Macaca fascicularis: one gene and its partner. The protein of the gene in region 1 purifies or fractionates together with the protein of each later gene. This does not show direct contact. Links are inferred from orthologs where the notes say so. Each region holds a gene or a part of one and is shown in the gene's direction. Other genes may lie near its edges.

What was found.
Region 2: the proteins of MYO1C (region 1) and SMARCA5 purify together in Homo sapiens (affinity purification with western blotting; 3 studies listed by BioGRID, with this or other methods). This does not show direct contact. The link is inferred for Macaca fascicularis from reciprocal best matches to the Homo sapiens genes MYO1C and SMARCA5.

What each region holds. Positions count from the first base shown.
Region 1 is NC_088390.1:1,589,045-1,592,606, reverse strand, and holds part of MYO1C (unconventional myosin-Ic), read left to right. Parts: intron 1-360; coding exon 361-480; intron 481-600; coding exon 601-683; intron 684-896; coding exon 897-1,002; intron 1,003-1,115; coding exon 1,116-1,196; intron 1,197-1,489; coding exon 1,490-1,581; intron 1,582-3,562.
Region 2 is NC_088379.1:148,622,931-148,627,177, forward strand, and holds the start of SMARCA5 (SWI/SNF-related matrix-associated actin-dependent regulator of chromatin subfamily A member 5), read left to right. Parts: upstream 1-1,420; 5' UTR 1,421-1,643; coding exon 1,644-1,820; intron 1,821-4,247. UniProt on the Homo sapiens protein: ATPase that possesses intrinsic ATP-dependent nucleosome-remodeling activity.

The sequences.
Region 1 (3,562 bases):
TGCTTGTAACCCCAGCACTTGGGGAGGCTGAGGTAGGGTGGGTCACCTGAGGTCAGGAGTTCGAGACCATCCTGGCCAACATGGTGAAACCCCATCTCTACTAAAATGCAAAAATTAGCCGGGTGTGGTGGTGGGCGTCTGTCATCCCAGCTACTCAGACCTGTCCCTCTACCACCTTCCCACTGGGGCGGCCACCTGTCCTCCCTGAGGTCCCACTACCAGCACCCCTCCCCACACCACAGGCTCGCTGGAGCTGGGCGTGCAGAGTGGTGACGGCTTCCTGGTCTGCCTGAGCCTGGGGGCAGGTGGGATGCAAGAGCTGTGTGGCATTCATCTCCTTGCCTCACGCTGCGCCCACAGCTCCTGAGCCCGCTGAACCTGGAGCAGGCCGCCTATGCGCGAGACGCTCTCGCCAAGGCTGTGTACAGCCGCACTTTTACCTGGCTCGTGGGGAAGATCAACAGGTCGCTGGCCTCCAAGGTGAGGGCTCACTCCACACTGCTCCCGAGGCAGGAGGGAGGGCCATCAGTGGGGCGGGGGGCTGCGGGGTGGGGCTGGCACACGCAGGGGTCCACGCCTTCGGTTGAATGACTGCCCTAGGATGCGGAGAGCCCCAGCTGGCGGAGTACCACGGTTCTCGGGCTCCTGGATATTTATGGCTTCGAAGTGTTTCAGCATAACAGGTCAGTGCCACGTTTCCCCCGTCTCCTCCCAGGCTCCTGTCCTGCTCCCTCTCTTCCGTCCCCCAGCCTCTCATTCCTGCCCCGTGACTCCCCAGCCAGCCGGGGACTGGCTCTGTGTCTCACCTCCTATGCTCAGGGGCCTCGTCCAGCCTTTCCCCTCTGCTGGTCCTATGTCCCCACTGAGCCACTGTGGACGCTTCTCCTTCCTTACAGCTTTGAGCAGTTCTGCATCAATTACTGCAACGAGAAGCTGCAGCAGCTCTTCATCGAGCTCACGCTCAAGTCGGAGCAGGAGGAGTACGAGGCAGAGGGCATCGCGGTGTGTGCAAGCCTGAGGGCACTCTCTGGGCCATGGGGAGCCTGGGCATCGGGGCCCCTGGGAGAGGGTGCCAGGACACCACGGTGATGCCTGCCTTCCTTTCTGCCCCTCAGTGGGAGCCCGTCCAGTATTTCAACAACAAGATCATCTGTGATCTGGTGGAGGAGAAGTTTAAGGGCATCATCTCGATTTTGGTGAGTCCTCTGTGCCTTCAAGGCCTCGTGCTGGAGGCTGGGTGGGAGGATGTCCCCGTTCTCCGTTCTCTCCAGGCTGGTCCACAGAGGGCCAGAGTCTGGGGCTGAGTAAAGACAGGGCAGGGCTGTGAATGGCGGATGGAGGGAGGCGCCGCCCCGGTCAGAAGCTCTATGGAGGCTCCCAGTGATCTGCCCCCTCCCCTGTGTCTGAGCCTCCCAGCATGGTGACCCCAATCCTCTATGCTCTCTGGCCCCTCCCCCATATGTCCCTCCCCCTGTGCCACACCCCCCAGGATGAGGAGTGTCTGCGCCCCGGGGAGGCCACGGACCTGACCTTCCTAGAGAAACTGGAGGACACAGTCAAGCACCATCCACACTTCCTGACGTGAGTGGGGCCGCGGGGCTGCTGGGGGCGAGGACTCACTTGTGGCAGAACCTGCAGAGTGCGGGAGTCCCTCCCCGATCCCAAAACACCAGCCACAAGGAGGTGACCAAGTGCTGAGTTAAGGACCCCTCATGTGTGTCCAAAAACTAAGAAGCTTAGCCAGGCACGCTGACACACACCTGGAGTCCCATCTGTGCAGAAGGCTGGGGCGAGAGCATCACTAGCCCTGCAGTTTTGAGGCTGCAGTGAGCTAGGATCAACCCACTGCACTCCAGCCTGGGCTACAGAGCAAGAGCCTATCTCAAAAAGTAAAAAAAAACAGCTGGGCGTGGTAACTCACACCTATAATCCCAGCACTTTGGGGAGGCCAAGGTGGGTGGATCATTTGAGGTCAAGAGTTCAAGATCAGCCTGGCCAACATGGTGAAACCCCGTCTCTACTAAAAATACAAAAGTTAGCTGGGCGTGGTGGCAGGCACCTGTAATCCCAGCTACTTGGGAGGCTGAGGCAGGAGAATCGCTTGAACCCGGGAGGTGGAGGGTGCAGTGAGTTGAGATCTCACCATTGCACTCCAGCCTGGGTGACAAGAGCGAGACTTCGACCCAAAAAAAAAGAAAGATGCTAGTAGCCTGGCTTCCTCCCTGTTCTTTTTTTTTTTTTTTTGAGACGGAGTCTTGCTCTGTCGCCCAGGCTGGGGTGCAGTGGCCGGATCTCAGCTCACTGCAAGCTCCGCCTCCCGGGTTTACGCCATTCTCCTGCCTCAGCCTCCCGAGTAGCTGGGACTACAGGCACCCGCCACCTCGCCCGGCTAGTTTTTTGTATTTTTTAGTAGAGATGGGGTTTCACCGTGTTAGCCAGGATGGTCTCAATCTCCTGACCTCGTGATCTACCCGTCTCGGCCTCCCAAAGTGCTGGGATTACAGGCTTGAGCCACCGCGCCCAGCCCCTGTTCTTTTTTGAGAATGAAACTTGCTAGGCCAGGCTCAGTGGCTCATGCCTGTAATTCCAGCACTTTAGGAGGCCAAGGCAAGCAAATCATGAGGTCAGGAGATCGAGACCATCCTGGCTAACACGGTGAAACCCCCGTCTCTACTAAAAAAAATACAAAAAACTAGCCGGGCGAGGTGGCGGGCACCTGTAGTCCCAGCTACTCGGGAGGCTGAGGCAGGAGAATGGCCTGAGCCTGGGAGGCGGAGCTTGCAGTGAGCCGAGATCGCGCCACTGCACTTCAGCCTGGGCCAAAGTGCGTGACTCTGTCTCAAAAAATAAATAAATAAAAGAACCTTGCTGAGATTTTTCCTTATTTGGAAACTGCTTTTTATTGAAGGAATCCCCTGAGGTGGGGCGAGGTGGGAACAGGAGTAAGTGCCTCTGTCCAGCGCGGTCTCACGCGTGCCGTGCACGTCGTAGCTTCTCCTGCGGCCGCTCCGGGAGGGGTTCTTGGTGTTTTCTCACTGAGACTCCAAGAGGCAGAGGCACTTCCCCGAAGTTACCTCTCATCTAGGTTGCCGAGCTGGGGTCAGTCCCAGGGCTGCTGAATGCCAAATCCATGAGTATTTTTTGCATAATAAGATACTGAGGCCGGCCGCGGTGGCTCATGCCTGTAATCCCAGCACTTTGGGAGGCCGAGACGGGCGGATCACAAAGTCAGGAGATCGAGACCATCCTGGCTAACATGGTGAAACCCCGTCTCTACTAAAAAAAACCAAAAAACTAGCCGGGCGAGGTGGCGGCGCCTGTAGTCCCAGCTACTCGGGAGGCTGAGGCAGGAGAATGGCGTGAACGCGGGAGGCGGAGCTTGCAGTGAGCTGAGATCCAGCCACTGCACTCCAGCCCGGGCGACAGAGCGAGACTCCGTCTCAACAACAACAACAAAAAAAAAGATATTGAAAATTTGTCTCTGGATGGGCACAGTGGCTCACGCCTGTCATCCCAACACTGTGGGAGGCCGAGGTGGGCGGATCACCTGAGGCCAGGAGTT
Region 2 (4,247 bases), on another chromosome or scaffold:
TTCAGCCTACTGCTGTTAGCTTTTTGCAGTTACATATGAAGAGTATGATGAACATCATTGTAGGTATTTATCTTTGCACATATCCTTAGACATTTCCTTACAGTCTAAGAACTAGCATTTCTAGTGGAGTGGGGACATTTTTCCAGATGTCAATTAAAGAATTATTCCATTAGTTAAAAAATTTGCAGGCTATATATTCAAAGGAGATCCCTTTTGTTTGGAATTCAACATAACCAGTTAGCTCAAACCTCAACTCTTGAAAAATGTGCCTCCTTTATTCAACAAACATTTATAGAATACTGGATATGACGAATAAAAAAAGATAAATAAGACCCTGTGCTGGGCAGATAATCTACTGTAGTATGCAGATTTGTTATCAAATAGACTACAATGTATTTAAATTTTGCAGGAGATGAATGCACAAGGCCCTTAAGCTACATTGAAGGCTGCCTAAGGCAGTATACAAAATTAGTGCTGAACACTTGAGAAAGTGCGTTTTAATTTTAATGTTTGATGCTTGAGGAAAAGATTACATCATACCACCTATCTTCCCCACATACTATTTGTGTTTCTCACTTACATGGTAGTGTGCATGTTATTTGCTTACCTTTAGCATATAAATTCAGAAGAAATAGCATTTAACTCTGTGCTTAAAGAGGATATTTAGAAATAACTGACGCAGCTAACATGAGAAGGCAAAAAAACAAAACAAAAACCAAAAAAGAAAAAACTAACGGACTTTTTTTTTTTTTTTTTAACAAAACAGTGAGACGTCACTTGGGGTAACCATAACGTCGTCAAGGCTGTGGCGTCACGCCTCTAAGCGGATACGGCAGAAGTTTTGGGGTCAGACACAAGACTTCCAAGTTTGAATGGGCAGCGCAAAACTCAGGCAAGTTTTCCAGTAGTGCCGCCGATCCCAGCCAGGCCCGGAAGACACAACGAGAACCGTGAGCCGTTACGAAAGCCTAAAACACTGAGCTCGCGTCCTGCCAGACAGCAGACGCACAAACCTACGCCTCCGAGCGCTCCCTCGAGGTCCCGCCTACTCTTCTCTCCCGAGCCCGCTAGAGGTCTGGAGGAGGAGGGGCCAAGGGTGAGGAGGAGGGGCCAAGGGTAAGGAGGACAGTATGAGCATGCGCACTCAGTACCCAGTCAGTGAACCAATAAGGAATCTCGCGAGGGTTGAAAGTCGGTGGCGTAGGTAGTCGTCCTGGATGCTGGCGAGATAGACGATATCTGCCAGAGGAAGAGGAGGAGGAGGCGGCGAAGCGTTTTCCCAGCCTCAGTCTCTGTTTCGTTTTCCTTTTCCCTTCCCCCAACCCTCCGCCCTTCTCTAAATCAGCCCGCCTTCCTTGACCTCAGTGACCCGTCTGGCCCCGCCCATCCTCGTCGACGTGATTCCCGCCGTGAGGTAAGCGCCGGTGGAACCTAGAGCCCCGCGGAAGAGCAGAACGTCTGGGAGTGTGTAGCTCCTGGGCCCGGCTCAGGCCCGTCGCGGAGGCGCGGCGCGGGGGAGCGCTCGGGTGGGAGTCTCGCTCCTCCACCAGTTTATTGCGACGTAGCCACCCGGGCCTAGGCCTCCCCGTCCATCCCCGCCGGACTCGGCCTCTGGCAGCAGCGGGTGACGCAGACGGAACATCATGTCGTCCGCGGCCGAGCCTCCGCCACCCCCGCCTCCCGAGAGCGCGCCTTCCAAGCCCGCAGCCTCGACCGCCAGCGGCGGGAGCAACAGCAGCAACAAAGGCGGCCCCGAGGGCGTCGCTGCGCAGGCGGTTGCGTCTGCGGCCAGCGCGGGTCCCGCAGACGCCGAGATGGAGGTGAGGGCAGCTTGCGGCGTGGGGAGCGGGCGCAGCGGGGAGGAGGAGCTGGCTCCCTCGCCGGATCGTGGCGATCGGACGCAGAGCCGGGCTTCTCTCTCTGCACCAGACTCAGCTTCACACCCTGTGGATACGAAATGATGCTCTCACCCTTGCTCCCTTGTTCTTAACCTATTGGAGCCAAGCAAAATGGATTTCCGGCTCCTCACATTGAAATTATTTGTCTCTTTCGTGAATCTTGACAAATCTTTGAATGCTCTCAATGAACAGATGTTCTTGGTTACCGTGGCCCAGGGGGACCCATCTTTTTTTCGCACTAGACTCCCATAATTCCCTCTCCTACCTCTGAATGTGGTTTTTAGTTTCCACCAAACTTCGGGGAAGGGCGAGGAGATGACCCCTTAGGAGCGGGATGCACGGGCAGGGTGAAGGAGGCATTTAAAAGCAGCGCGTCCGAGGACTTGGGCCTCTTTTTCTTCTTCCCGGTCTTTGCGGGGGCGGTATCTGTTCTGGGCAGAAACAATGGCGAGAGCTGGATGGCCGAGTGCGCAGTGGGGATAAGCGGGGCGCAGCTGCTTCTGTGAAGGGAGAGGAAGCCCCTCCCAGGCACTGTTCCACTGGAAGGGAAGCAACCAAGGCAGCAGCAGCTGTCTCGGATCCCCCATCGAATTTAGGGGGGATGAGTAAGTGTAGGAATGAATTAGAGAACCAGGCGCAGTTGATTGGCTCTCAGTCCGGCACTTTTTCTCTTTTTGGCGTCTCGCCTTAAAAAAAAAAAAAAATTAGTACCACTCGGCTCCCGAGACTTCTGGGTTTGGGTTGTCCAGAGGATGCTGACGGTACTTAGGGGGCTGGAAAGATGGGGAAGCTGCCAGGCGGGTAAATTGGATATGCCTCCAGGCTTTGCAATATCTGGGGAAAAAGTAATTGCTCCTTCCAATTGTTATTCTTGGCCTTCGACCTGTTTTGAAATATTTTGTAAGTCGGAGCCCAAAGATTTCTGGGATTTTCCTATCCTTAGAATGAAGGTAATACTGCTCCGAAGATGAGTCTTGACGCACAATCGTTGTACAGTGGGGAAATGGGAGCGTAGTTTACCATTGAGGCATTTGGCACAGTAGTTTTATTTGGGTAGCTGGGGTTAGGTAACATTAATGTTAGTAATCTTTTAAAGAACTTTTAGTGTGAGGGTAGGTTTAGTGACATAGGAACTCCTGATGGTTCCTGTAGTTTTGAGTGATTAGGATAAGATTTCTTTCAAATTAAAATATATTCAGTGTTGCCTTTTTTCCCCTTAAGGAAATGGTTCTCTTGGGTTACCAGGGCTCTTTAACTTGAATTCGGTTCCAAGGCTTAAGGGGTTTGACACAAAGCAATTGTGTGTAAATGTGCAGTTCTGGACAAAAATCTGTTCATAGTTATCCTCAGCCTCTCAAAGGGGGGTCTGCCATCCAAACTTTGGAAAAATAAATTTTCACCAGAGGTCTTGTTAATATCTGAATACAGTAATTTTAAGCCAAAAGCAAGTCAACTTTTTTGACTTGAAGTTGTTATTTTAAATGAAAATTGATTTTAAGTTTAAATGTGAGTATAGATGATGTCACTACCGTATTAAATTAGTGATATTTTCATTTGCCAGATGGGGAATTTGAGTTCTGCTAGGTAGAACCTGTGATAAAACTCAGGTCTGCCTTTAAAAGTGAGCCTTTTCCCACCCATCTTACTCTGCCGTGTTCTTACCAAAAAAACGTATTTGGCAGTTCAATTTATTGAATAACATAGTTATTTTTACCTTCCTAGTATAGAAGTATTAGGAATTTTTTTTTTATCCATCTTATCACTGACTCATTTTGTTGTTGTTGTTGACAGTGTGATTTTTTTGTCTTAAAATGCACCGTCAGTTTCCTGTTCAGAATCACTGCAATTCATGATCAAAACTAAGTTTGAGCACACATGCCTAATATATGTCACAACTTAATCTGTTTTGCACTTGGAAAATGAATATTTTATAAATGACTTTTTCTTGTTTGGAAGTATGATCTAAGGTGTTTTTCTAAAATCACAGAATAAACTCAGCATTCATGAATTTTGTGTGTGTGTGTGTGTGTGTGTGTGTGTGTGTGTGTGTGTGTGGCAAAGCTGATTTTCCCAGAAATAGCCTGCCTATGTATTCAGTTACTTTTTTTCTTTTTGCATGATACTAACAGGTCAATGGAGCAACTTGTTTTTTAGTTATCCTTTTGGCAATGTGGAACTCTTCTGTGTTCATCCTCATCTTTATTGACTAGATTGATATGCCAATAATGATGATGTCAAAATGCCTGGAAGTCAGGTTTTTTGGTTTTTTTTTTTTAAACTGTGGAAGAAATAATGACTACCGTTGGAAAGCACATTTTATTTTTGTAGGTTGCATTTCATGACATTTTG